Mytilus edulis: one gene and its partners. Each later gene encodes a partner of the first gene's protein in a complex. Links are inferred from orthologs where the notes say so. Each region holds a gene or a part of one and is shown in the gene's direction. Other genes may lie near its edges.

The links.
Region 2: WASH complex subunit 2-like (region 1) and WASH complex subunit 1-like share a complex: the UniProt entries of both Drosophila melanogaster proteins name them as parts of the WASH complex. The link is inferred for Mytilus edulis from reciprocal best matches to the Drosophila melanogaster genes FAM21 and wash.
Region 3: WASH complex subunit 2-like (region 1) and WASH complex subunit 5-like share a complex: the UniProt entries of both Drosophila melanogaster proteins name them as parts of the WASH complex. The link is inferred for Mytilus edulis from reciprocal best matches to the Drosophila melanogaster genes FAM21 and Strump.
Region 4: WASH complex subunit 2-like (region 1) and WASH complex subunit 3-like share a complex: the UniProt entries of both Drosophila melanogaster proteins name them as parts of the WASH complex. The link is inferred for Mytilus edulis from reciprocal best matches to the Drosophila melanogaster genes FAM21 and CCDC53.

The regions. Positions count from the first base shown.
Region 1 is NC_092355.1:16,253,649-16,260,891, forward strand, and holds the start of WASH complex subunit 2-like, read left to right. Parts: upstream 1-4,225; 5' UTR 4,226-4,336; coding exon 4,337-4,348; intron 4,349-7,243. UniProt on the Drosophila melanogaster protein: Acts at least in part as component of the WASH complex which may regulate wash nucleation-promoting factor (NPF) activity and is required for its membrane targeting during endosomal sorting.
Region 2 is NC_092344.1:31,573,184-31,580,837, reverse strand, and holds the start of WASH complex subunit 1-like, read left to right. Parts: upstream 1-4,632; 5' UTR 4,633-4,822; intron 4,823-7,654. Other genes in the region: uncharacterized protein, read right to left, coding at 390-565, 1,362-1,428, 3,138-3,174. UniProt on the Drosophila melanogaster protein: Acts as a nucleation-promoting factor by activating the Arp2/3 complex to induce actin polymerization. Participates in both linear- and branched-actin networks.
Region 3 is NC_092344.1:109,308,174-109,315,827, reverse strand, and holds the start of WASH complex subunit 5-like, read left to right. Parts: upstream 1-4,643; 5' UTR 4,644-4,970; coding exon 4,971-5,195; intron 5,196-7,263; coding exon 7,264-7,370; intron 7,371-7,654. UniProt on the Drosophila melanogaster protein: Acts at least in part as component of the WASH complex which may regulate wash nucleation-promoting factor (NPF) activity and is required for its membrane targeting during endosomal sorting.
Region 4 is NC_092353.1:26,958,049-26,964,974, forward strand, and holds the start of WASH complex subunit 3-like, read left to right. Parts: upstream 1-3,899; 5' UTR 3,900-3,987; coding exon 3,988-4,038; intron 4,039-6,510; coding exon 6,511-6,675; intron 6,676-6,926. Other genes in the region: transportin-3-like, read right to left, coding at 3,557-3,673. UniProt on the Drosophila melanogaster protein: Acts at least in part as component of the WASH complex which may regulate wash nucleation-promoting factor (NPF) activity and is required for its membrane targeting during endosomal sorting.

The DNA.
Region 1 (7,243 bases):
GAATCAAAATATAGCTTTAGTGTCAACAGTCAATTTTTTTTATATTTATTTCACTATTCACCGCTTCAATTTGAATAATGAAACATAAACTATTTCATTATTCATTATTCATTTTTTAATATTGAATAGTGAATAGTGAACTATTTCATTATTCATTATTGAATAATGAATAATGAACTATGAATAATAGACGTACTTCAGCGCGGTGTTTTATTTGGAGATGTGCATTCCAAAGGAACACTGTCTTTAGATGGATATTCTCCTTGTTTTCATAAAAAGAAAATAACACCACGTTAATATTGTCCAGGGCCTAATACTTTTAAACTATATTGTTGGTTGAAAGCTACTTCTAGATCGCTTACAATTAATTAAGCTAGATCTGATATTATTGATGAGCTATATTATTATTGTATTATTCTCTGCTATCAGCATTTTGTCACATTGTGTCATACATTATGTATTTCCATAGCATGTCCTGTATGCTTTTAAAAATAAAATATTGATTCAATATGTTTGTTCCAGAAATGTTTGATGTTGTTGCGACTCCCATGTACTTAGTAAAGTCAACTGTTTCATTCATTGTACTGCCGTGCAACAAGTAGTTGGTAGGTTCGACTTTTTTGAGCAACACGACGGGTGTCACGTGTGGAGCAGGATCTGCTTACTCTTCCAAAGCACATGAGATCCCCCCAGTTTTTTAGTCTTTAGTTTTCTATATTGTTTCCTGTGTACTTTTATTTATCTGTTGTTTTTTGTCCTTTTTTTTAGCCTTGGCGTTATCAGTTTAATTTCGATCTATGAGTTTGAATGTCCCTCTGGTATAATGGCGTTATCAGTTTAATTTCGATCTATGAGTTTGAATGTCCCTCTGGTATAATGGCGTTATCAGATTAATTTCGATCTATGAGTTTGAATGTCCCTCTGGTATAATGGCGTTATCAGTTTAATTTCGATCTATGAGTTTGAATGTCCCTCTGGTATAATGGCGTTATCAGTTTAATTTCGATCTATGAGTTTGAATGTCCCTCTGGTATAATGGCGTTATCAGTTTAATTTCGATCTATGAGTTTGAATGTCCCTCTGGTATAATGGCGTTATCAGTTTAATTTCGATCTATGAGTTTGAATGTCTCTCTGGTATAATGGCGTTATCAGTTTAATTTCGATCTATGAGTTTGAATGTCCCTCTGGTATAATGGCGTTATCAGTTTAATTTCGATCTATGAGTTTGAATGTCCCTCTGGTATAATGGCGTTATCAGTTTAATTTCGATCTATGAGTTTGAATGTCCCTCTGGTATAATGGCGTTATCAGTTTAATTTCGATCTATGAGTTTGAATGTCCCTCTGGTATAATGGCGTTATCAGTTTAATTTCGATCTATGAGTTTGAATGTCCCTCTGGTATAATGGCGTTATCAGTTTAATTTCGATCTATGAGTTTGAATGTCCCTCTGGTATATTACGCCCCTCTTTTTAAATATTTTTGTCTTACAAAGTTTGAAATGATGGACGTTAGACTAGCAAGACGCGTTAATTTTGGAAATGTATTTTCGTAAGAATGAAAACGAAACATGTCGATAAAAATTTTAAGATTAAAAGACTCTGCAGTAAAATGTTCAATGCACTACACCCTTCAGAAGTTAATATATTTTTTTCGCTGACTATCATAATATTTATAAATTCAAATCAAATCACATCACCGCATATCTCCCGGCTCCATGATTGGCAATATAAAAAAGAAGATGTGGTATGATTACCAATGAGACAACTGTCCACAAGAGACTAAAATGACACAGACATTAACAACTATAGGTCACCGTACGGCCTTCAACAATTAGCAAAGCCCGTACCGCATAGTCAGCTATAAAAGGCCCCGATAAGACAATGTAAAACAATTCAAACGAGAAACTAACGGCCTTATTAGATGCAGATGTAATGAATTTTGACTGTGATCTTTTGCACAGGACCACTAGAAAAAGTCATGACTTACAATTGCCAAATTTACCGAATACAAGCAAAGGGAAAATTTGAGCTTTGACTTAAAACTTTAAGGGCGCACATTTGTGTAAAAACTTACAAATTACGATCCTGAAATAATTGTCGGTAGGAAAAATTGTATCATATTTTCAAGAAAAAAGATTGATTGATTGATTGTTGGTTGCTTAACGTCCAGTGGCAAATATTTCATGCATATTCAGGACGAGAAAAAGATCACAATAAATACTATAGGTAGGTCTTGAAATAAAAGAGGCCATCTGGGATGATGGTCGGGGAAATTTGGACTGCCACTGTAAAATGAGGGTATATTTGATAGGGACAGAAATTTTGCCTTGCAACAGGCCACCTACGGGCCCCTCAAAGAGTTGTTGCAAGGGTTCTTAACGTACAAAGAGCGTGGCACTCTCCTTACATGAGGCATCGGATTTAACGTCCCCAGTCTGACCGGACATGACTGCGAACTTGATACATCCCGCACAGCTAAACGGAGGCCCCACTTCGGCAAGCGTTTTACTGCCGGTCGGAAGAAGACCAAGTGACCATATTTCTATTCCCCAGTCACCCTTGAAAGAAAGGAAGGACAGAACATAAAACTGGTATATAAAAACTCCATATAAACAATGTTTTATTCAAATCAAGAGGGGCTGTTGAATCACGATTCACAAGAGGTTAATGCAAAAACTTAATATTGTCCCATGAAATGTAAATAGGACTAAATGATAAAAGCACAGATTTTTTTAACAGCATGTTAGATTGACGAATCTATTGATATATAAATTATGTTTTTTTTAGTCAATTGTTAACCAAGATAAAAGCCAGAATACTATAATAAGTTAGACAAAACTTTGATTTTGATAAATATACGGATGTTTATTTTTGTTTTCCATAACTATTTGTTTTCTATATATATATTTATGATAAATAAAATATTGATCACTAGGGAACGCCTTTGTATCGCAATGATATAAAAATATCATTAGAATTTGGAAATTGATCAAATTGTTAAGGATTACTACAGTCTTAGGTCAATAGTGTGTCACCCCTAAACCCCACTAGCTTATATTCCATATAATGACAACATTTTAATAAAAATGTTGTCAAAACTAATATGAGGTCCCATTTTGATGAAATTGTAATGTAAAACTTGTAAATGTAAATAGGTTTTGTGCTAATTAATTATGAAATATGTGTTTGACATATCCATGAAAAGAACTTGAACTGCAGCATTTTTGTATTTAATAATTGAAATTATTCGTATTGATCAGACACGAAATTGTGATCTTCACCATGCTCACTGAGTAGACTGTTTTATTAAAAAAATGTGTTTTAGGCAGCAACCATATCAAGTTAACTTCAAAGGGGGTAGGTTTTTTTCTGTCGTCATAATTTTTTCCCGTGCGAAACCTCAAGTTTTCACATGCAAAATCTGGACCTATTATTTAATATACACTAAGAATAATATAATAGTCCCAGTCAAAATAAAGCCCTATAAAGTCACTGAAATCAGAAAATCTTAAGAATGTGTCTATTTCAAAGGAAAACTTTGTTATGAAGAAATAAAAGATGATATTAGTTGTTTAAACTTGTGACATGTCACGGTAAAACTGCGTGTTGTCGTACATGCGAGATTCCTTATCCTAAAATTGAGAATGGAAATGTGGAATGTGTCAAAGAGACAAATCAAGTTATCAACTTGAACAAAACTTATGATATTTTAAAAATTAATAATTTAATTTTGAATGTAACGCGTCTTCTGATTGGCTGACGTTATTTTGTTATGAGCCCATAGACATTTAGTCATGTGACCGTGACGTCATCAACGTTTTTTCATGGTTTTCTACGGTTAAAATGGAATGTAGAATTAAATTATAAGAAATGACTGTAATATTTTTTCTGTCTATTCGAAATAACATAAAAAATTCGGTGCACCCTGTTAAATAACCCGCTACTCGCGTTATTCAGATCTATTCAGTGTGCATCAAATTTTTTATGTTATTCATGTCTTCATACTGACAGAAAAAATATTACATTCATTCCTTAAATAACCAAACATAACAAATTTAATCTATTTGAATTATGTTCGGTTGAAACAAAGAAATATAAAAAGTTATGGCAAGAGACTTTTTGCTGAAAGAGGACGCAGACATATTCGAGTTAACAGTGGTATCTTGGACCATGGTGGTCCGTGTAATTAGGAGGAAGATACACTGGGGACTGGAGAATATGTACTTTAAAGGGAGATAATTTACTGTGATCATGTGACAGACCACAGGAAATGGAAAAATACAAATAGATGAACACCCACATTTAATCATTAATACATCAAAATAATATTATAATGGAACCAGAGGTAAACAAAAAATATGAGGAAACATTAGTATCAATATGTAAACACTGACATTGCACCGATCATATTTTAAGGTTCATAAATCAACTGTTAACATCATGAACATGGTCAGATTTTGTTGACATTGTAAAATTATATCCACAAAAACTTTATTACAAATGATCACAATACACATCCATAGGTTTAAACTTACATCCTAGTTAAAAGGAATAATCATGAACTTGATGAATTTAACCTTTAAACTGGGAAATATTTATAACTTTCATTTTCAAATACAACTAATCATCATCTTCTATACTATTAAACGAGAAGACCTCATTTTTGGTGTCGCTTCTCTTCTTTCCACAATAAATTAATCAACACGACTCTGTGTCCTATATGTACAGTGCATAGTCGCATTTGTCATCCATTCATATGATTATTCAGATTGAGTTATTTTGGGAGAAAAACGAGAAAAAAGGCATCCGGATATTGTCCCGTCATTGGACGAAATTTTAAGTCAGATTATACTTCTGGTTTGCGTTTTTCTGTATACTTTGAACAAACAAATAGTACGAATAAAGTGTATTTTAATTCTGTTCAGAGTTTATTAAATGGAGAGGGTCTGTATATTATGTCAATTGACCACCATGGATCGATTACTAAACTAAGAATTGAAAGTAAATACACTTTATTTATATAGTAATATACAGATAAGCGCTAAAATTATTCATGTAACCTTTTGATACCTTTTCTGAAATTCTCCATTCATTAAATATTTTACAAAATTCATTGATTACAAAAAAAAAAAAGATGTGGTATGATTGCCATGTTGAGACAACTCTCCACAAGAGACCAAAATGACACAGAAATTAACGACTATAGGTCACCGTACGGCCTACAACAACGAGCAAAACCCATACCGCATACTCAGCTTTAAAAGGCCCCGAAATGACGATGTAAAAAAATTCAAACGAGAAAAATAGCGGCCTTATTTATTTACAGCTAGCGGCCTTATTTATGTACAAAAAAGGAACAAAAAACAAATATGTAACACACAAACAAACGACAACCACTGAACTACAGGCTCCTTACTTAAATGTTCATAACATACTAAATGTATGTTCATATTGAAATTGAGAGAAAACCAAAAATTGGGAATTTTTAAAATGAAGGAGGAGGTATAAAACTTCTAACAACACTTTACATACTTTTAACTCCGCTCTGAATGCCCGCGATTTCGCAGGTGTGTTCTAGTGATCATGTTAATTGTCTAACTCTTTATGTATCATGATCATGTATATCACTGAATTCATTTTTTTCTACCAAATGTTACAATCATAATCATCAAACAAAACATTCTAAAATAAACAATACAGAAAAAAATCTGGAAGTATTTTAATACATATTTTTTGACATTTAACAGACATGTCATGTATGTATGGTAGGTCTTTTCACCACCGAACACCCCAAAAGTTTATTGTTTTGTCTTGTCAACGTATATTTGTTCCTAATAATATTTGTTCCTGATGGAAACAATATTATAATAATATTTGTTCTGCGGAAATTGTGTCATGGAAAACTTTTTCCATCTGTATTATATTTGTTCCACTGATAATAGGAACTTATCTTATATATTGATGAGTATAACAAATGTTCCTATTATGCTGAAGTTTAGTTTACACCTGATTGATTATTATATAAATTAAAACAGGTTTTAAATGCTGATTATAATCTTAATCAAAACAGGTTTTAAATGCTAATTATAGGATTACATGTAAAAAGAAAAGTGTTAATGAGTTGGATATATATATTCGGCTGTACACCACCTTTTTTATACTGAAACACAGAGGCTGATGAGTATGAGAAAACATTTATGTTCTTTTAAAAATGCATATGTCCAGTAATTGTGGATAATTCACAACTAATTGTTTAATATCTTCAAGATCAGGAACAATTATTTTCCATATTCACGATACCTGTTCAGATAATAATTGTAAATACCAATTTACCAATCCGGCATTATTAATGGATAGAATATAATAATATTTTTGAGTCGGAAAAGATATTATATAATATATATTGCAATGCATAATATTTTTTCCAATCGGAATAATGACTACATAAGATTTTTTTTCATTTTAATGAGTGATATGTCAGAATGATAAAAGTCAAAATGATCAAAGTCAAACTGTTATACAAGTCATAAGATGAATTTTCTACCATAATTTTTATTCCAAAGATAATTTATTTAAGGAATGACTATAATATTTTTTCTGTCTATGAAGAAATAACATAAAAAATTTGGTGCACACTGAATAACGCGCATAGCGGGTTATTTAACAGTGTGCACCACATTTTTTATGTTATTTCGAATAGACAGAAAAAATATTACAGTCATTTCTTATAATTTAATTCTAAATTCCATTTTAAACTGTAGAAAACCATGAAAAAACGTTGATGACGTTACGGTCACATGACTAAAGTATGTCTATGGGCTCATAACAAAATAACGTCAGCCAATCAGAAGATGCGTTACATCTTAAATTAAATCATTATGTTATAAAACATCCTATTGGAATTTATTTTACATGATAAAAATTCTGAGGCATTGGTCCTTTTATTATGCTTATGGAATAAATATCACATAACAATAATTCCAATTGGAACTTTTGTTACATAATAAATTATCTTTGGAATAAATATTATGATGGAACTAATATTCTGTGACAGTTTTAATTGTTATCAATTTGACTTAAATATAATATTCAAGTTATTATTAATTCAACAAATCAAACAAAAAAGAGTTCAAATATCTACAGAGAACAGAAAGGAAGAGTCTATAACACCCACTTTTTGAATTCCGCAGACCCCCATGGATACCTCAAATATATTTTTTTCCATTTTTTTTCTTCTATC
Region 2 (7,654 bases), on another chromosome or scaffold:
ATCCTAAGTTTTCGGGGTAGTTCGTATTGCTTCTTTTAAGTTGTCTATGTTGTGGTGTATGTTCTGTTGCTTGTCTGTTTGTCTGTTTGTCATTTTTCTTATTTAGCCATGCCGAAGTCAATTTGAAGTACATGACTAACTATTGTAGACACCAATGTTCAAATGAAGTTGTTGTAAGCAATTAAAGGCAACCGTTTGGTCTTCAACAATGAGAAATTATAACATTGCGTTTATTTTCTGCCAATGAGTTTGAATCTTTCGCCTCTCTTTGACATTTACCTAACATGCAGTTTGTTTGATAAAAAAAATATGGTTGTAACGTTATTATGTTGAGACTATGTAAAACCATGAAAATGATGATTCTTATTATATCATTTGTTTTTACTTACGCTGCTGTTGTAGCGTGTGTTGATGTTGATGTTGATTTAGTTTTGATAAAGTGTCTGGTTGTATCACGTGACCACGAATACCACTGGTTTTAACACAACAACATATTGTGGTGATAATAGCCCCTATAACGGCTACTCCAAACAAAGCACCAATAATTGCACCAATGATAGTTCCTCTAAACATAATGAAATAAAAAGTAAATGAAATCATGTTTGTTGTATTAGTAAAGGCTATAGATCTGATTTAAATATTAAATTTATCTGCACAATGTATTGGGTAAGACTAAATTGGAAACGGACATTACAACCTCGGAAATAAAGGGCTTATCCTGATTGGGCACTTTTGCTATTGAAATATGTTATTCTGAAGTTCGACTTAAGATCGTGGATTTCAATTTTCGATTTCAAAATTCAGATATATTAAATAGAGAATATCGAATGAGCAGTCTATAGACATTTTTTTTATGTCTGATGTGTGTGTCGAAGCGATAACTTTTCTTAAAAGAATCCGTGTAAGTTGTGGGATAAAGCATTATTTATAGAAAAAAAGAAATGTCAGTTCAAAAGAATAAGTCCTTGGTTTCATTGAGGGCGACTCTTAGGTTCATGTTTCGGTTTTCTGAGCAACACATATGTTCTTGTTTTTTTCATATACATTTGCATTTAAATCGTGTGTGAAAATATTGTGTCTTTGAATATAATTATAATTCAAGAGATAACCTCTATGTTTTCATAAAAAAAAATGAAAAATAGGTTTCATAAATGTTTTCTAATAGGTTCACGCTGCATTGGTGACCTTCGGCTGTTGTCTACTCTTTGGTCGGGTTGTTGTCCCTTTGACACATTCCCCATTTCCATTCTCAATTTTATTAACATGAAAAGTAAAATATATAAAAAATATTCTTTTCATTTGTATTCCTTATGCATATGTATTATCTGTGATAATTCTTGTGTATGTTAATGAATACTTACACATCAGTATTACATTCATGGTATTCGTATTGGTAGTGGTAGTAACAACCACCAAACACCGGAAGTACTGAAACATATACAGAGATTACTTTCAATTTTACTTTCATTTTTTTTGTTTTGACATGTATAGATTGGCAGACAAAACAGTATCAGATAAACCTTATCATATTTCCCTAAAAGATCTAAGGAGGATGGAGGGCCGCATGGTTTTCGCCATTAAAACAAACCTTGATATATTTGAAAAGGTGATTAAATTAAGCAAAAATTATTAAGAATCTAGTAAGGTTTCGACACCTTAAGCAAAGTTAACTTTAGATTTATTTTTGCTAATATTTTATATCCTTTTTTGGTCAGATGTCTCTTCGACTGTTTCGGTATTATACATCCTTTTGGCTTTCAAATATTTTGCATTGAGTGTTCCTGTCGAATGTAAATCTATAGAAGCGCTTCGAACTCATATTTTATTGAGTATTGCCAGTTTCATTTTTTGCAAAAAAAAATGATTCTTACAATCAAAACAGTAACCGCAGAGATGACTATATCCGTCCCATATTGTTTTTAGAGTCATATGTAATTAATCATGCCGAAAATGACATCCTACTCATTCTCAAGCATTTAAGGACAAAGTATTGAATAAGCAGATGTTTAGAGTTGAGAGGGTCTGCATCGACTTCGTTCAATAATTATGCCAAGTTCTAAACATCCCTAAACCTACAGAAGCTACGAATTATTGAATAACACTTTATAAATATATTCGTCCGATTACTTGATTTAAGAGGCCCCTCATGAGGGGTCCTAGTAATCACATAATCACCTTTTTTTTTGCCAATATAATCACATAATCATTAAATATTTGCTTATCTTTAGTAGTCAAATAATCATAAACTAAAAATACAGTCCTAGGTAATCAAATAATCATGAAATATTTGGCTTAATAATCAAATAATCATTAAAAAAACGGCCAAGTAATCACATAATCAAAAACCCCATGAGGGCCCTCATTTAAGACCTATAGAGAATTGCCAAGTCTACCTGAAATCAAATTTTCCTGAGTCAATTTGAAGCTAAGTTTCTTACTTATTTCCCAATTAATCAATGAGTAATTCATTAAAGGTATTTCGTAATGTATGTCAGTACCGAAGCACTCGGTTAAAAATCTTTCCTATACAATGATATTAAATATATACTGATTAAGTATGCCATATTATTGTGCTTTTAAAATGTTTACTTTAAACACACTGTAGATTTGTTTTAAAAGATATGAAGTTGCATTATAAAAATGTTTCAGATGAATGAATATTAAAAGATTTGTTTAACCTTTTATCAAAATATTTACTTTAAAGGTACGCAATTACTGCGCTATGGTTACATGCACAACAACGAGAATAATTATAGATACATGTTTAAAGATATATAATGTATTCATGATATAATTATGGTAATTTCTCATATATCTTTTTAACAGATCGTTGCAATAAACATATAAAGCATTTCAAAATATTAAAAAAAAATAAAGTAACGCTTAAGGGTCAATAACTATTATAATAAATTATTCCTAACTCATCATACATGTTAGACTTGACTTGTAGAACACTCTAGAATTTCAAAAAGTTCTCCGAATTTATTTTGTCGGCATTTTAAGAAACATTATTAAGATATGGTGTTCCGTTGGTTTCTTTTGAATTTCGAAAATATGAATGAATCAAACTGTTGAGATAAAAACGTTTGGACATGCATGTCTGTTCTAAACTTGAAATTGGAAAATTTAACTCTTACCCTGAATAAACAAAATCCATATTGAATCAAAAACCATTACTTTTGATTATAACTAATAATACATTCCAAATTATTCATGTTAAACGGCCAGGAAGTTTAAAACATCAACTATCAATTTAAAGGCCAGGTTAACTTTTCTTCAATCAATTAAAAAATAGATCCATGACGTGAACTGTCAAGTTACGGAATTGTTTATGTTTTTCATGCTTTTTATCCAGTGTCTTCACGAACAAATTTAGATTCCTATTTACAGTTACATATGTCTACAGACTACATGCAAGATGAATTTGAAACAGAATAGACATTAATTGGTTTGTCCAGAACAGAATCGATTGATCTGATGTTATTGAGATATTGACTTGTTGATAATTTTAAGTCCATTCAAAAGACTTACTAAGTAGAAGCCGGGAGTAGAAGCCATTTAAAAACGTTGAATGTATAAACAAGCGCTCTTTCTTCTTCTTCTTTTTTTTTTTTTAGGTTGCAGCACATTTATATTTTACGTGGCATTCTTATTTCCTTTTGTTGAAGAACTATTAATATATATTGTTCGTCATTTCTCTCGATTCTTGAATAAAAATCATGCAATTGACCATAAATAGTTACCTATTCAATTTACTGTTGTTTTTTTTTTTAATTAATCTGTGCCAAAACATTTTAATGCGTACAAACGGAACATCTGTGTACCTACAAGCAATATAGTGTCAACATACGTATATTTCGAGACGACTCGAATATTAGAATATAAGAAAGTTTGCGTGAAAATATGAACGTTCCTAATCAAATCAAATTTATTATAAGAATCGCATTATAACAGGAGAGTATCCAACATTCACTGAAATACTTGCACTGCGATTATTAGAATAGTATAATAGGATGATATCATGGATGAACATTATATATACATCATAACCAAGGATTTGTATAGCCTAGTAATTAAGACCTATACAAATCCTTGATGTAACTGGTATATACATGTACAAATATAAATAAACTAGTACTACATTACTGTAAATAAGAACAAACCAGTATACTGATCTGTATCACTACAATATAATAGAATAATGGTGAGGTTGAATTCTCTGCCATTTATTCATCATCAACGCACGACTGTCTTGTCTCAGAAAAAAATACATCTTTGTACATTAACCTCATTTTCAGCAGAGACACATAATACAATTGTATTGTATGTCTCTGCTTTCATCTATAGAGATGTGATTTTTTTCTGATGGACAAGTGCTTGTGACCATTCACAAGAACTTGTGGTCATCCGATGTTCAGTATTTTCAGTACTACAATTTGTAACATCGTTAAATTAATTTTCAAATCATGAGACATTTTACCAGGTGGAGTCTAATAAACGATAATATAACAATAATCCTATTGCATGGATTTTAAACTAATAAAATTCTTCTCAATAAATGTTATACTTGGACAAGCTTTTGGAAAAGCTAGTGTTTGAAATATTGATACATCTTATTATGTGTTCTACGTCACGAATATAGAGGCGGAACTGACGAAGTTCTCATCGATAACTTTTTCTCGTGATCAAGTAGACAAGCCGAAAACATTTTGAAGCTTTAGCCCAAATTATGTGATTTGACAATATGATACTGTTAATGCATTTTCACATTCTAATTATGTAATTCATGTTGAAAATATTCAAACCATAGTATCTGGAAAAGGTAAATAAAAAACCATTATTCATAAGCACACTTTACACGCCCCTTTTCACTGAGCACCATGATTTTTTAAAATTGTGTTTTGAACTGCGTTGTTTGAGATTATCTATAAAGAATATTAAAAACAAAAAACAGGACCTACTAGAAATCATTGATACTGTCAAACCAGATATCATACTAGGTACCGAAACATGGTTAGAACCAAACACCTCTTCTTATGAGTACTTTCCATCAGATTTATATAATGTGTATCGCAATGACAGGGCACCAAGTACCAACAACCAAAGCTATGGGGGTGTACTTATAGCAATCACAAAAGAATTCATAAGTTCAGAGGTAAAAGAACTAGAAACTGAATGTGAAGTAGTCTGGGCAGAAATCAATATTGCTGGCTCAAAAAACATCTTAATATCATCCTATTACAGACCACCATCTGATACAGGTTTGTCACTAGAGCAACTCCATCAATCTCTAAATCGTATCAATAGTCAATCAAATGCAACTATTATTGTGGGGGGTGATTTTAACTTGGGACATATTGATTGGTCAACATCAAGCACAATACCAGGCAAACCTGACATACAACTTCACCAAAATCTCTTAGATATAATGAATGACACAAACCTACATCAAGTTGTCAATACACCAACAAGAAATGATCGCATACTAGATCTAATAATGATTAATAACCCAACATACATCAACAAAGTAACCACACTACCACCAATAGGTTCAAGCGACCATGATATTGTCTATGTCGAAGCAGACATCTGGCTTAAGAGAATAAGAGAAACCCCACAAAAAGTATACAAGTATAACAAAGCCAACTGGGACGAAATTAAACTTGACATAAGTACCATCTACAAATCAATCATTGACAACTATGATTCTCTTAACACCAATGAGCTATGGGAACTATTTAAAACCAAACTCATCAGCTCTGTCGAAAAACACATTCCATCAAAAATCCTACGAAACAAACATCGATTACCGTGGATATCTGATAAATTAAGACGACAAATTAACAAGAAAAACAAACTTTACAAAAAGCGAAAAAACAGCGAATACACGGAGAAATATAAAAAGATGAAAGCTCAGGTACAAAAAGATCAAAGGAAAGCCTACTGGGAATATATTGAAAAACTTATATGTGATCTTCCAATTAATGAACCAGACATTCAAATACAAAATCAGAGCAAACCTAAGAAACTCTTTCAATACATCAAGTCAATAAGAACTGACAAATCTGGTATCTCTGCACTAAAGAAAGACGGCAACATCATTACAGACGCCACAGAGAAAGCAAATCTCTTAAACGAACAATTTCAATCTGTATTTACCCCAGTTACAGATGACCCAATACCAAACAAAGGCATCAGTTCACATCCTAATATCAGCGAATTACATATAACACCAAATGGGATCGAAAAACTCTTAAATAAGATCAACCCACATAAAGCCACCGGCCCAGATAACATCAGTGGCCGCTTACTGAAAGAAATGAAGACAGAAATTGCACCAATACTATGCTTAATTTTTAACAAATCATACAACACTGGTATTACACCTAACGACTGGAAACACGCTAGAGTCGCACCAGCATATAAAAAAGGGGATAAGCATAAACCGGTCAATTATAGACCTATTTCATTAACTTGTATTTGCTGCAAGTTAATGGAACACATAGTAACATCACACATTATGAAACATCTCGAATCAAATAACATCTTGTACGACCTTCAACATGGCTTTCGGCACTCTCGTTCTTGTGAGACACAACTTCTCTCCTTCATTCAAGAACTTCAATCCACAAACAATTCAAATACACAAACAGACCTTGTAATAATGGACTTTGCGAAAGCCTTTGATAAAGTTCCGCATCGTCACTTACTATACAAATTACACTATTTTGGCATTAATGGAAACACTTTAAATTGGATCTCTGCATTTCTCTCTGATCGAACCCAGACAGTTGTTCTGGATGGAAGATCATCAAGCACAGTCCCAGTCACCTCTGGGGTTCCTCAAGGTACTGTCTTAGGTCCTGTCTTATTCTTGGCGTATATCAACGACCTTCCAGACTACCTTACACATAGCAAACTAAGACTATTTGCTGATGACAGTATCTTATACATGCCAGTTAAATCCCAGAGTGACTGCCTAAAACTGCAAGCTGACCTTGACGCAGCTACAAAATGGGAAGAGGACTGGCTGATGGCCTTCCACCCAGACAAGTGTAATGTTCTCTCTGTAACAACTAAACGTCAACCTTTAAAACATAATTACACTCTCCACAATCATATACTAGAATCTGTTACATCTGCTAAGTACTTAGGCATCACATTACAATCAAACCTTAAATGGGACAAACACATAGATGACAATATATCAAAGGCCAACAAAACTCTCGGCTTCCTTCGAAGAAATCTAAAAACATCAAACCAAAACATCAAGAGCCAGGCATACCAAGCACTTGTCCGTCCCAAACTCGAATACTCTTGCTCAGTTTGGGACCCCCACACTTCAGAATCTATTTCAAAGATAGAGATGGTCCAAAGGCGAGCTGCTAGGTATGCCTGCAACAGGTATCATAATACTAGTAGTGTATCAAACATGCTGAACACACTAAACTGGCCTATTTTGACACAACGCAGACTGCGTGCACGACTGGTTATGATGTACAAGATCACACATCAACTTGTTGCTATACCATCTAGCACAATTCTCATTCCATCAGACTCAAGAACCAGAAAACATCATTCTCACACCTTCAGACATATTTATACATCAAAAGACTCGTACAGATTTTCATTCTTCCCATACACAATAACTCAA
Region 3 (7,654 bases), on another chromosome or scaffold:
GATAGTGGAATATAGCGAACCTATAATTAACGGAACCAGATCAGGCCTTAGGTCATATAACTTAATTCAGTACTTGGGAGTACATAGTTTGTGCCAGGTGCAAAGACACGTAAAACATTCCCTGCTATGCATGCATCATCCACCACACAAAGTCATTTCAAATAGTAATTCTCAATGTCAGGACTATCACCACATCGGCATTAATGTTAGATGTAAGTATTCGTGAATATGTTGGATCATACAAATGTCACATGTTAGTTGGGAATCTGAGAAACTGTTTTAAAATAATCAATCAATTATTTATGGCGACCTTGCTAGTTAGGAAAATTGTAGTTATTCTTCCTAGAATGCTCTGTTAGTGAGATAACAACAAATGAGAATATGTATATTCATAACTCGTCAACCTAGAGTCGACTTATTGTGCTTTTGGGTAGAAAGGGGATGAAAAGGGAGCTCTGGTTCGTTTATCGAAACACTGGGAAGAACCTACCACCCAGAGCACAGTATTGTACTCCGTTAAAACGAGCGTTTGTCTGTTTTGTTAGTTGTCAGCAGATATGTCTGTTATCTTCAAATTTATCTTGTTCCTGAACTGTCTTCTATTGATAGATAAATATATATTTTGATTTTAAAGTACAACTTGGTACTTATACATGAAATTCAATATATTACAATTTTAAACATGAGCAGTCAATTTACATAACATTGAGAATGCATGAAATGAGGAATGTATATTTATACCAACCAGCCTTTAGAGGCTTATAATTCACTGTCATTTATGTACGAAAAATTATATGAATTAATTTGAAATCCAATAATCTTTATTATATCTGAAGCTTAATTCTTATTAGATACAATGTAGTTTCAATATATCAGTATATCTATATTTCGATGTTAGTAACTTACATTTTGAAGGCGCCTCAGCCAAGAGAATTATAACATTCGGTTACAATAATACAAAGATCAAAGTCAAAACTAGAAAATAAGTACGAGCATGACATATAGTAAGACTTAGAATGTGTATAATGCTACTAGTATGTTGCACTTTAATGACACATGAAAGGACATAACATAATATATTCGACATTCATTTACTTGATAATGACGTCCAAGATTGACTAACTTTAAAATCACACCATCTAACTACCGATATTTACCAGTTCTTAGTGTTCTTTTACTACTTTAACCTAAAATACAGCTACAAACTAATTCTGACAAAACAGATGTGCATCTATAACGTATACTTTCTTCTTCGAAAAAAACCCCAGTTTATTAATAACCAAGTTTGTTAATAATTTGTTGATGACATCTTGTTGAACAAACATTGTTGGCTTTACGACATTAGCAAGGAAGAATATTACATTTTCCTGCACAATTACAGACGGAAACCTAATGACAATCATCACCCAAGTTTATTTTGTACATGCTTGACTCTGTGAATTTACTGATAGTCTGTGGAATTGATTTTAAGAACACGAACGTCAACAGGATTATACTCTGAATAATGATTTGTAAAATATGATCCTTTATAGAGGAAATCTTATAAATGCATTTTGATATCGTTAATATTTTGAATAATGCAAGCGTGTTGCACTGTTTTAAAGTCTAATTTATTAGATTTGTAAACCTTGTAAACTAATTTTCCAACTTAAAGTTATAATGTTTCTTTTTCCGAAAGGATGTTTCCGACTTATGTAAAGAATAATTTATTTTTGCATACTTTCTCATTCTCATCTTGATATCTATATCACTAACAGAAAGCTGAATACTAAAATTTATGGTAAAAGAGATGATTTTTCATTTCCTATCGTTAATTATCCATTTTTAGATGGTGACGTTCCCTTGTCACCATCTTACGGTGTTTATATATCTCAACTTGTACGATTCGCTCGTGTATGTAACAATGTTTTAGATTTTAACGAGAGAACTTTATGTATTACTGAAAAATTATTACACCAGGGTTTTTTGATATCACAAACTAGTCAAAACATTTACTAAATTTTATCATCGGTATAAGGACATCATTCGTAAATATAGCTCAACATGCAGACTTCTTATACGTTCAGGTATTTCACATCCAATTTTTTATGGAAATATTCTTTATAAAGCACAAAGGTGTCAGTATTCACCTCAAAAACTAACAAAACCTTTGAATAGACTTATTAAGAAGGTATATAGTTACAATACTGTTGTCAGGTCATTAAAGATTGCATATTTTGGCGTTAATATTGATTCACTTATAGGGTCTTTGCATCGGAACTAAACACATTTATTCAAAAACCAGTTGTTGGCATGACACGGGTTATGTTCTTCTCATATATGTTATGATGGCATGATACTAAACCCCTAACGGGAAGGATTGTGCCTGATGTTCATATGATGAAATCATAATCTTTCAGTCAGTTTAATTGAAGTCTGGAGCTGGCATGTCAGTTAACTGCTAGTAGTCTGTTGTTATTTATGTATTATTGTCATCTTGTTTATTTTCTTTGGTTACATCTTCTGGCATCAGACTCGGACTTCTCTTGGACTGAATTTTAATGTGCGTATTGTTTTACGTTTACTTTTCTACATTGGCTAGAGGTATAGGGGGAGGGTTGAGATCTCACAAACATATTTAACCCCGCCGCATTTTTGCGCCTGTCCCAAGTCAGGAGCCTCTGGCCTTTGTTAGTCTTGTATTATCTTAATTTTAGTTTCTTGTGTACAATTTGGAAATTAGTATGGCGTTCATTATCACGGAACTAGTATATATTTGTTTAGGGGCCAGCTGAAGGACGCCTCCGGGTGCGGGAATTTCTCGCTACATTGAAGACCTGTTGGTGACCTTCTGCTGTTGCTTTTTCTATGGTCGGGTTGTTGTCTCTTTGGCACATTCCCCATTTCCATTCTCAATTTTATTTCTCATTGTTTTCTAATTTCAGGAGAAAATAAACTAAACACAGATTTAGGTAGATTGGAAGTCAGTTTTAGTCAGTTAAAATATCTAATTGTAAATGGCTGAAAATGATTTGTCTAGATTTTAACAGCTTGAAATTAGTATTTGATGCATAATTAGTATTTATTTGTAAGACTTCATTAAATTGAAGATTTTTAAAGGAATATATCTTATATTATAGGGGCATTAACTACGGAGATTTTTTTTTCAATCATTCTTGAAAATTAAACAGTGAAATAATAATTCGCCTTAAGCAGCCAGTTTGGTTATATTAGGTCAAAATAAGCTAAGAAATATCGCTGATTAATTATTTACTTGCAAGTGAATAATTCTACCTAATTGAATCCGTATGCATGTGATCTTACATTTAACTCCTTAGCTAGCGATGGGTTACGCATTAACAAGGCTTGGTCAGCTATTAAAAGGATAAAAGGGTAAAGAATTTGTCGACGGATTCGATACAAAATCTCATTCTTATACAGCGTAAGAAAAGAGTGGTTAAAGATACCAGAGGGACATTCAAACTCATAGATAGAAAACAAACTGACAACGACATGGCTTAAAAAGAAGAAAAAAAGACAAGCAGACAAGTACACAAGACACAATCAAACAAACTAAAGACTAAGCAACACGAACCACCAAAAACTGCACTGGGGCCATTCGGATATCAGGTGCTCCGGAAGGGAAGGCAGATCCTGCTCCATATATGGCACCCATTGTGAACGTACTTCCTCGTTGTTTAACGACGATTAACATATGTTTTTAACCTATAGCATAGGTCCTATAATATGAAATCAAACAGACCCTAGAAAAATCCAATTGCACGTGTTCGCTATCAATGTATTATAGCTATATTTATGTTTATGTCAGGTTTTCGTCAGCAGTCTTCTTGATGGTTAATTATATGTCGTCTAGACTAAAGTACACACGAAATGCTGATACATATTATCGAGTCCATACATTGTAAATCATTTATTAGTTTAGACCCTTTATTATTTGGATATACGTTTTAGTAGGTTATCTATCAAATATGAGAATTTTAATAAAAGAAAAATTAAACAAAATCTTTTCAAACGATGTGAATTTGAAACAAAAATGTGATATCAGGGAAATAACTAAGATAGCATAGTATTATGTAATGTAAGTTTACATTATTTTATGTAGCCAAACCGTACGGTGACCCTATATTTTTTCATTTTTTTTCTCATAGCACATTTTCACAGCTATCTTATCATGTCAAAAATCTTTCAGGTTTTCCTATTGAGTTAGTCGTATGCTTCAATCAGATGATTAACCACAATTGTAATTATAATAACTTCATGTTAATCTAATTTTTGCATTTCAGGATTCTCTTTGAAAGTCGGAATGTGCTTATCTTTACTTGTAAGGTGACATTAAAATTCCTACTAGTATAAATCAGATTTAAATTTTTTACTAGTGGAAAATGTCAGGTTTTTCTTTTCGAGTATTGGTCATTTGATATGATTTATTTTGGTTACAGTTATTTAATATTTTTGCAGATTGTATTTTCTCCATTATTATTCTCTATAATTTAATATTTTCTATTTTCTTCTTGTATTATTTGTTGTCATTTTTACTTTGTGCTTGCTCTTTCTTTAAAAACATGGGTCACAATGTGTACATTGAATATTTGTGTCCTTTGCTGTGCGTTGTTGTATATGATTTCTGGTCGGTTATTGACTTTACTCAATTTACTAATGATAATAGGTGTCGCTGTGGCTGTTTCCGGATGTTGACTATCTGTCTGCTCTTTACACCAAAATGGACAAGGAAAGTGTGCTGTGAAGAGTAGAAACACAAGTTTCTGTTTGAGTAGACAACATTTTATATTGAAAAAATAAGTTACGGTAGCATTCAGATGCACTTACCCTGAGGATAATTGAAGTTGGTTGAGGGTTGTCACATGTTCATGAGTGCCTGGCAGAGTGGGCGTAACTTCTGATGTTTTTTTTCTGATTTGAGTTTAGATTCGACTTGTCTTTAGCACAAACTAACATTACAGAAACAAGCAATGGCTGATTTCCTTGCAGAAAATAACCAGTGTGGTCAAAATATTTTACGCCTTGTGTCAAGGGGAAATGCAATACTTGCTGAATTATTGAGACTTTCAGAAGTAATACCACCAGTTTTTAGACAGGAAAATCAACACGAAAAAGTTAAATATGCTGACATTATTAGTGATTTCAGTTACTTTAGAAATGCAGAATACTTTGACAATAAGATTGAATCCAAAGTGGTAAGATATTGGAAATAATCATTTAGGCCTACCTTGTAAATTGTTTACAAAATAAACAGATATATGCTTTATTGTATGTGACCACTTTTAATAAATTAATTCTATGCAAATCTATGACAACTCACCCCATTGCCAAATCGCTCCAGACCAACTTGCCTTACTTTTTTGGATAATTTTAGGCATTTATTAGGCCACAGCACTTGGGACAATATTACTAAAGCACCTTGAAATGAGGAACTCAAAAGTCATGTGTAAACAAAAAATCTCTGTGTAGTGATATTTGACACTTCTTATGATAAACAAATGACTGAACTTAACCATTTGTGTTAATTAAGAAAGAAGGGGAACACAGAATAAATTTGTAAAATCTATGGAGTCATTAAATGTGTTCAAAGTATTTAATTTTCATAGAAATTATTGTGTTAAAAATGGGATTTTTTACCTTGAGGAGCCGCATCACAAAAGGATACTCAGGGTTTGCTAATTTACGGAAAAAGTAATCTCACTTTGTACCCCGAAAATTTAACCACATATGTCAAAATGTCTCAGCTTCGAAACGAGCCATCACACATATCCAAGTTAACGAAATGGACTGAGCAACAGAAGAAAACGTAACTATTACCGCCTATGGAGAAACTAATACGCATCATGACCCACTTGTCTCAAATTTAAAAAATTTGAGACAAGAAATTGTTTTTCTATACAGTACATTGTATACTTTTATATAATGATCATTTACAATAGAAATTTAGCTAATCTGCAAACAATTCAATCTTCATGTCTAATATATTATGTACTGTGTTACAACTCTAGATTCTACTCAGTACTGACGAGGAAAGGTAACACTAGCCCACTAAAAGCTGAATTATTAGTTTCATCTAGGTGGCTGAGTGGTCTTGAGCTTTGGACACAGTGCAGGTAGTGTTGTCCAGATATCCCTATAGCATGACTTTGAATCCCAGCGAATTTACAGATTTAACATTGTTGTCATGGTTGTGCTAATATTTCATGTATTTAGAGTAATTAGAATAAATATGTGTTTTCAGCTGTGTATCACCTTCAATGATGATCCTATGGATGGATCTGTCATAGAGTTGTCACTTGTTTAGACTTCTTGAAAAGTTATAAAATTTGACCTAGCTGTGCATAAAATAGGGAAGAAAAGATCTGTCTGAAAATGCACTAAATACATTCAAATACATGTACATTGTATATATATATATATTTATAAATTATAAAATATCAAGTGACTGAAAAAAGCCAACTATAAATCTTAAGGGGCAATGGATCATATAATTATGATACAGCACACTACAAAATATAATATATAACAAGTCTAAAAGGGTACAACATCACCAAAAATAACAATAAAATGAGCAATAACAGATATATTATTAGTAAGATCACGATGTAAAAGAATCATACATTGTATCAATCAATTCTGATTATAAAACTAGAACAATCTTGAAATTTATACAATGAAACAGTCAAATCTGAACATAATAGAGACATGCCCGTGTACAACTCTAAAATTTATTAAACATGATGTAGGTTATATAGCTACAATGTATTTACAACAGAGACAGCAAAGATATGCTTCAAATAAAAATAGTTATGTGCAATATGAACTGGTACAACTCTAAAAAGTGAAGACAATTTTAACAGATGTTACAAAAACGATATACTAATATCTATATAAACATGTATACAGCTGACCATTTCTTCATCCAAATGGCATTTCATCATCCAAATGGCATTATGTACTAATTATTTATTGCAAAAATGTATTATACCATATCAGAGTTTGTGCCTTTATTTGAAAGGAATTGCCCTTGATTTCTTGCAAAAGTATTAGCAATAAAGGAAAAGTTTACTGACATAATTAATCTGAACACATTAACTCCAAATGGAGCTTTCGTTAGTATAAGCCATATTAATTAGGTGCAGGGGAAAATATGAAAGCATAAAAATATAGTACATGTATATGCCAATACACAGCGCCTGGTGATGTTTCATAGCTTGACCGGTTTCGGTCCGAAAAGTAAAGTTTGTTTTCTTCTTCTTTCAGGAACTTCAAGATTTGGATGAAGAATTCAGGGAAAATAACATTGAAATTCTGACAAGATTTTATCAAGCTTTTTCTAGTGTACATAAATATATAATAGATTTGACAAAGTAAGTACACCTGGATAACCATATATAAATTGGTACATGTATCCTTGATGGATGAGGTACTATGTATAATAAAAAAATATTAAACAGTTTTGAGGTTTGATATTTATCTTTGTAGTGATAAGTTACAATACAATGGAAAATAATGTTTTCATTTCTAAAAGTACTTGCAATTGGCTGTAAGTTTATATTAAATAATTTTTTATATCATGACTTTTATTTTAAAACTTTCAAAGTTCTATTTGCTTGCTCTAACACATTTACATGATTTCATTTAAGATTGAAGC
Region 4 (6,926 bases), on another chromosome or scaffold:
CGGCCTTGGAATTATATACAGAACGCCCAGAGAGTATGTAATCGCGAACTCTAATCACCGATTTCAGAGTGTAGCGGTGTGACACCGCGAATCACGGATTATACTCCCATTTTCCTCCAAAGATTCTCTCCCAACACCGTGTGGCTGTTTATTGGTTTATTGCCCATCAGATGTACTGAAAATTAATGAGTTGACGCGTGACAACATCATCGGATTAGCCAGATTTATTACCTTTGTACATTTAATCGATCTTGATTGCACCTGAGTGATTTAAAATACGTTATTTAAATGTCCTTTCATTGTCAGATAAAAGTGTGACATTTTTATTTAAAATAAGATAATTATTCTTGTATGTATATGCCCATGTCATTGTCATATGACATACAACGTGCAAACGTATAAATATACGATTAAAACACTTATTTTGTATTTTCATTATAGTCCGATCAGGTCATAATTTTGTTTTTTCAACAAAGACGATTTTACCACAATTAGAACCTTTTATGACCTACTCAGTGAGCAACATTCGGTTCATTAATAGTTCAATATTATATAATTAATATCAACTGGCTTAAAACAAAATGATGTTTTTTACGGTAATATGTCCAATCTAAATTAAACCCAAGAGTTAATTTATCGGATCAACAAGTGAACTCTGTTACAATTTATTTTGAAACGTAAAATATTATGTTTCACTACCTCGGTAGATTACCGACTTGAAATATTTGAATTTAAAAAAGAAACTGTAAAGTGACAAATAGTTTTGTATGCAATGTGGCAGCCCTATATTCATAAATACTGAGATACATTCGCCGCCCAGACACAACACAATAATCACAACCTTTAAATATTTAATTATATGGAGAGAAAAAATCATGTTTTTTATCCGTTATGATCTGTTATTGATCTTTAATTATTTAAAATAAAATTGGATTGGCGCAATCCGTATTTTACAGCTCGTTTAAAAGTCCTCGGCGAAATATAAAAAGAAGTATTTCAACAATTATAAAATAGAATATTTAAATGAAATTATATCGTGTTCTACAAGAAAGAAATATGTAAAAAAAAAATGTGGAGCGGATTTTTACGATCGGCAAATTTTCACAGAGGATCTCTACCAACGCCCATCAGGAACTGAACGACATGCATCCTGTTTTCATCTACCATTAATATATAGTGTTGACTATGGACGTATAAATAATGTCCGGTTTTATGTCCTCTGTTGACTGAGAAACGTAAAAATAAAAGGCTGATGTTGGTTAATTCAGAAAAGGAATACAATTTAGAATCCGGTTAATCAATTGTAAAAGTACCTTCTAGAGCCTCAATCTTAACGCACACAAATTTATGTCAATCATTACAAAGCTAGTTTAAACCTTGAATGAATTTTCCCACGGTTATCCAGAAAGGTCACCTGAGTTTACTGTTACATGATACTATTTCCCGCCAAATAAAAATCTTGTGGACAAAATTGATGTCACTATTTTTAGCATTCAATATTGTGAGCAAAGTCAAGTTCAAGTTCAACTACGCACTGTTGATCACTGAGATGCGTGTCTTCCCACGGCAATTAATTGCTTTAAAAATATTTAAAGATCACTGTTCTAAATACAACACAAAAGTTTACATTCATTGTGCGTAAATGAATATTATGCAACGACGAGTTGATGCAGCTATAGAAGTATTCCTGTTGTAGCCGAAATGTTTTATTTATCCTAAAGTAATGCTAACAAATCGTGAAGAGAAAATGCCGTAGACTTCTTAAGCATAAGGAATGGTGAAAAGTATTTTCTTTTTTTCTTGCATATACAAGTTTTAAGACACGTAATTTTCTTTCTTTCTCACATTTTATACCTTCAGCGTTAATTTCCGTTTATTTTCACGCAAGTACACAATGAAGTATGTCTCTTTTCATAAGTTATATAAATTACCGATAAAAAAAAAACCGAGGTCATAATCAAGTATAGATTTTTTTTTATAAAACTTTAATGAAATTGAAAGCATTTAATAACAACAACCTTTTGCTTTTTAAAACTTTTATTTTGTAATCGTAAAATGGAAATGGCGTAGACTTATTAGCATAACAGATAGTGAATAATATTTTCTTTTTTTATACTTGTATAAAAAACTTTGAGACGTGTCACTTTTCTTTAAACTACCCTAATTTATTCAGCGTTAGTCTCCGTTTATTGTTACACAATTATATCTCTTTTAGTAAATTAAATATTTATTTACTGATAAAAAAACGAAAGTCAAAATCAATTTGATTTAGATGTACAGAGTAATTAAAAGAATTAACAACAACGTTTTGATTTTTATTTTAATCTTTTATTTGTTTCAAGCAATCAGATATAAACTGATAATCAATAGACAGGAAATACAATTGTTTAATTACATTAGAAATCTCGCATACCTTGACTGTCGCGTGCCGGCATAGATCAGAAGGATTAGGGCAATTTATTACCTGGTGTGACACTGCGTCACTCCAGACTGGGAGAGATGTCGCTAATACAATAAACAAAAGGTAACGGATTTATGCGGAAGTCGGAGGGAATACTCCCAAATTTCTCCGAGAATTTAGGGAGTGATGTCGGAGTTTCCTGGTGTCACACCAGGAAAAAACTCGGTGTATGGAGTTTGGGATGGCTTTCGCGAAAATTGAACTGTACATTGTAAATCGGATATCAATTTGTTCATTTTTCATTTATGTAAGCTTCACATACCTCTCACCTTTTATTTTCTCATAATTAGACAGTTTTTACAGTGACCAGGTGAACCATCGATTCAGACATTTTTACTTTTATTTTCAAAAGGACATCAAGTTACGAGAAACTTCACGACCTATAGACTCAAATATGCAAATATTTATACGTTTTCGTGGTCACATGATAATCTCTGAAAATGAATGTCAAAATGCAGAAATCGATGGGTCACTGTGAGAACTGTTTAAATATGGAAAAACTAAGTGTGGCAGGTAGGTGAAGCTTACATAAATGAAGAGATAAATGAAAAATGAACAAATTGATACCCGATTTATATAATACTAAGGCCGTTAGTTGGCACCAGAAGCGACGACGCAGCGCATCTATTTTGGACAGGCAAATATCCACTTTTTAATATGGGACGAGCTCTGACGTCCCAAGGCCCTATCTTGTCTGGTAAAACAGTCTTTGGACGTCAGGGTAATCTCGGACTAAGATAGAGGGTAAAGAAGAGCTGACCAAGCACGTCTGCTCAGTTGTATGACTGAGACATCACCATTGAAATGACGTCAATAGGTATCTCTTTCTTTCTCTGAATAAAAGCTAGAATTTGTATCATCAACTTATACATAGAGATAGTAAGATACAGAATGAGGTATGATTATCTTTTATAATGTATATTTTTTGTTTACGTGAAAAGCAAAGCGGTTGAACGATTTGAAATATAGCTATAACTTAATTGGCAGATATCATTAGACAGGCATCTTATAATGTATCGTACTAGTGGGCTTTAATACAAGTTTAACAGAAGTCTACTGCTGGAAGGGGGGCAGCAGTCGGGTCAGTTTGCTTACCGAACGTTGCAGTTCTCCGAGCCAAACTGATGCTCTTTCCTTTCCATTTACGTCTGGATTTTGATAAAGGGCTTGGAGAGCTTGATAAACCGTCTCTAAAGACGGTTCACTATTCATTGCTGTATATTTCAGGAATTGTCACTTGAAATTTCAGCAAGAGCACTGACCGGAAGTAAGTTATTCACCAAGTCATTCCCGCACTTTTGAAAAAAATAAAATAGAATTACAACACACATATAATATTTGTGGTCAAAAACAGATATTATAAAGTTAAGTGAAATATAAAATTAGTTTAAATATTTATTTTATTATTTAATTGTCATTTCTTATTCACCCCGTAATCGAAAATTTACTTCCGGTTTCACTTTGCCAAAAAAAAAAATACAACCCATACCACCTGACTGCCAAACAAATTGATATTCCACTCCATAATGGATTCAGATGGATTGCCTCTTGTAGGACCTGGTGTTGATTATACAAAGGTGTCTTAAAGAAATCATTTGTCATACATACTCACAAATTTACTGTCATTTAGTGCCAATGACAGTTGAGCTAAATAAAATCAGTGTTCAGTTAATAAATAAAAAAATCTTTCATTTAATCAGATATCAGGCTATTAGGTTGAAGAAGTTGCTTCCCCGTAAGTAACTTTATTTTTCCCTTTAGTGGGGGATCCTCCCTGGTCAACCAGTTAAGACAAACTCTATATATCATTATATCCAGTAGTCCGAGATTACTCAGACGTCCAACGGCTGTTTTGCCAGACAAGCTGGGGTCGTCGGATGTCAAAACTCGTCCCATATCAAAAAGTGGATATTTGCCTGTCCAAAATAGATGCGCTGCTTCGTCGCTTCTGGTGCTAACTAACAGCCTTGGAATTATATAAATAGGGTATCAATTTGTTCATTTTTCATTTATCTCTTCATTTATGTAAGCTTCACCTACCTGCCACACTTTGTTTTTCCATATTTAAACAGTTTTCACAGCTTGTCTGGCAAAACAGCCGTTTGCCATCAGAGTAATCTCAAGACTATATTTCCAGAGATCTAATTATATATATAACTAACAATATTTGCATATTATAACAATAAAAGTGTATGTAATGTTCATCAAATGTCAGTGTATACGTGTTGGTTAACAGTAAAGAAAGAATGTAAAAGTAGAAGTGAGTGTTTACTGATTATGAGTAGCCAGAAAAGGTCATATGTAAAAAAAACACTCATCCCTTAAACCCTTACAATACTCTCTATAAATCAAAAAAATATTTCACACATAAGGGGAAACAAACATTCATTTTTCAATGGTCTCAAGAGGTGTACATATCCAAATCATATTCATGATATTTGGAACTTCATTGAGATGTGAAGAAAATAAAAGTGCCTATAGTTCATGTTTCATTTAAAACATTATTTTTTTCAAAATCCCTTGTCAAACATTGTTCCTTTTGTAAAACATGTTAAAAACATATGAGGGGAAACCAATCTTTCAAGGCTCAGCTCCGTCATTAGATCTAAATGACATGTTTTTAATTGCACCTGTATATAAATTAAATTGCACCTATTCTTTATTCAAAAATTATTTATGCGCTCACTCCAGCGGTAGTACATTTCAATGTCATTTGGACATCTTGTTACAGAAGCGTAGCTAGAAGAAAACGATGTGCAAGCAACTACGGCTAAAAAAAATTTGGACCCTTTAATGCAGAAATTTTTTTTTCGGTTTTCGGTCATAGGACGGTTTAGAGAGGAGCTACATGTAGATAGGACTTATAAACAATTTATGAACGTAAACCTATTAATACTTGAATCTTCTGAATAGAGTAAATCATGGTTAATTTAATACATAAACAACACATTTTTGAATTACAGAATTTACTCAAGATTGACCAAAATCTGCTCTTCGGGTCTAAGCAGAAACGAACTTCTCTATTACTTTGTCAACATTCACCCTGAAATCCCGATCAATATGCAGTAATGCTAGCGATGATAACCTGTCGTTGTTCATTGTTGATCTTACATTTGTTTTCAATAGACTTAATACACTGATAGATCTGCATGGTAGCACTTGCGAGATGTTATAAACCAACATACGTGTTCTCAATCGAGCGACCTCCAGATTGAAATTGTCCGCCAAATACATGCCAGGTCATTTTGTATGTCTCAGACAATGTTGAGAATTATTCATTGGTTATATTTCCTACAACACGAGGAAGCAGATACGACACAAAGAAGCTTTTTTCTGATAATACCAGACACCCTCTACTCTCCAATTCCATTATCATATGGTCTACGTGTGTGAACGCAAAATATAATGAGACTTTCCAATGCTGTTTTGGCGTGTTTTCAGGGTGATTGGCTCTGGTAGTCTGTCGAATACATCGCCTCGGCATATTTTCAATAATATCAAAGGGTTTCGATAAATCTAATGGTCGATTGGTACATCGCATCGCAAACAGATACCTTACTTTGTAAAATGTACTCCAAAACTACACGTCTTAGACTGAGTATAATAAATTCAAATCTGGTAAAAGATACAAGTTACTGTCCGATTTTTACATGATCTCCAATAAAACGTTTGTTTTGAAATGCCGTTATTTAATGACAGTTCATCATTTAAAAAAGTGACAACGTATGTGTTTCCTTTTAGCTTTAACCATAATTAATTTATAAATTTTTATTTTGGCATTTTTTTTTTTGCTTGCTGAATCAATGTGCACGCAATTGCGTGTTAGCGTATAGGGAGCTATGCGCCTGATGTATATATATTTCTTAAATCATATACAGAAATATAGACGACTTTTTTTATATTGAATTTTTCATAACATCTTTACATTTGTATAAACAGCATGTGGAGATTCTTATTTTAAAACATATAGAAGACTTTGTACTGATATATTTGTTGTATATTAAGAGAAGAATACTTTTTAAAAAAGAATACTTTTTGTTTTCTTTCAGGTGGAAGCTATTCAGCAGAAGAGAATTGTTGCATTTATAAACCATTTTGTTACACATACAGCTAAATTTCTCAACAGATTTTCTTCTGTGTGTGAAGAAAAGTTAGAACATATGTCAAATAGAATTCAGGAATTGGAAGTATCAATGAATTTATTAGAGGCCAAGGTTTGTCTTTTACTCCTTAGTGGTCTGGTGTGCAAGAGGTATTTGGGTGTGTCAAAGAAAGATTTTGAATTTGTTTTTACTGCTCTTTAATTAGGATGCATCATTAAGGAGTAAGAGCAGTGGGTGGTCTCCTTGGAGCCAGAACAATGTGTCCAGCTTAGGTGATGTGTCTTCCTGCAGATTTTTACCTGGTTATTTATCTCATTGATAATCCGACTCAGTGTGTCCATCTAGTTCAAAACAGGATTATA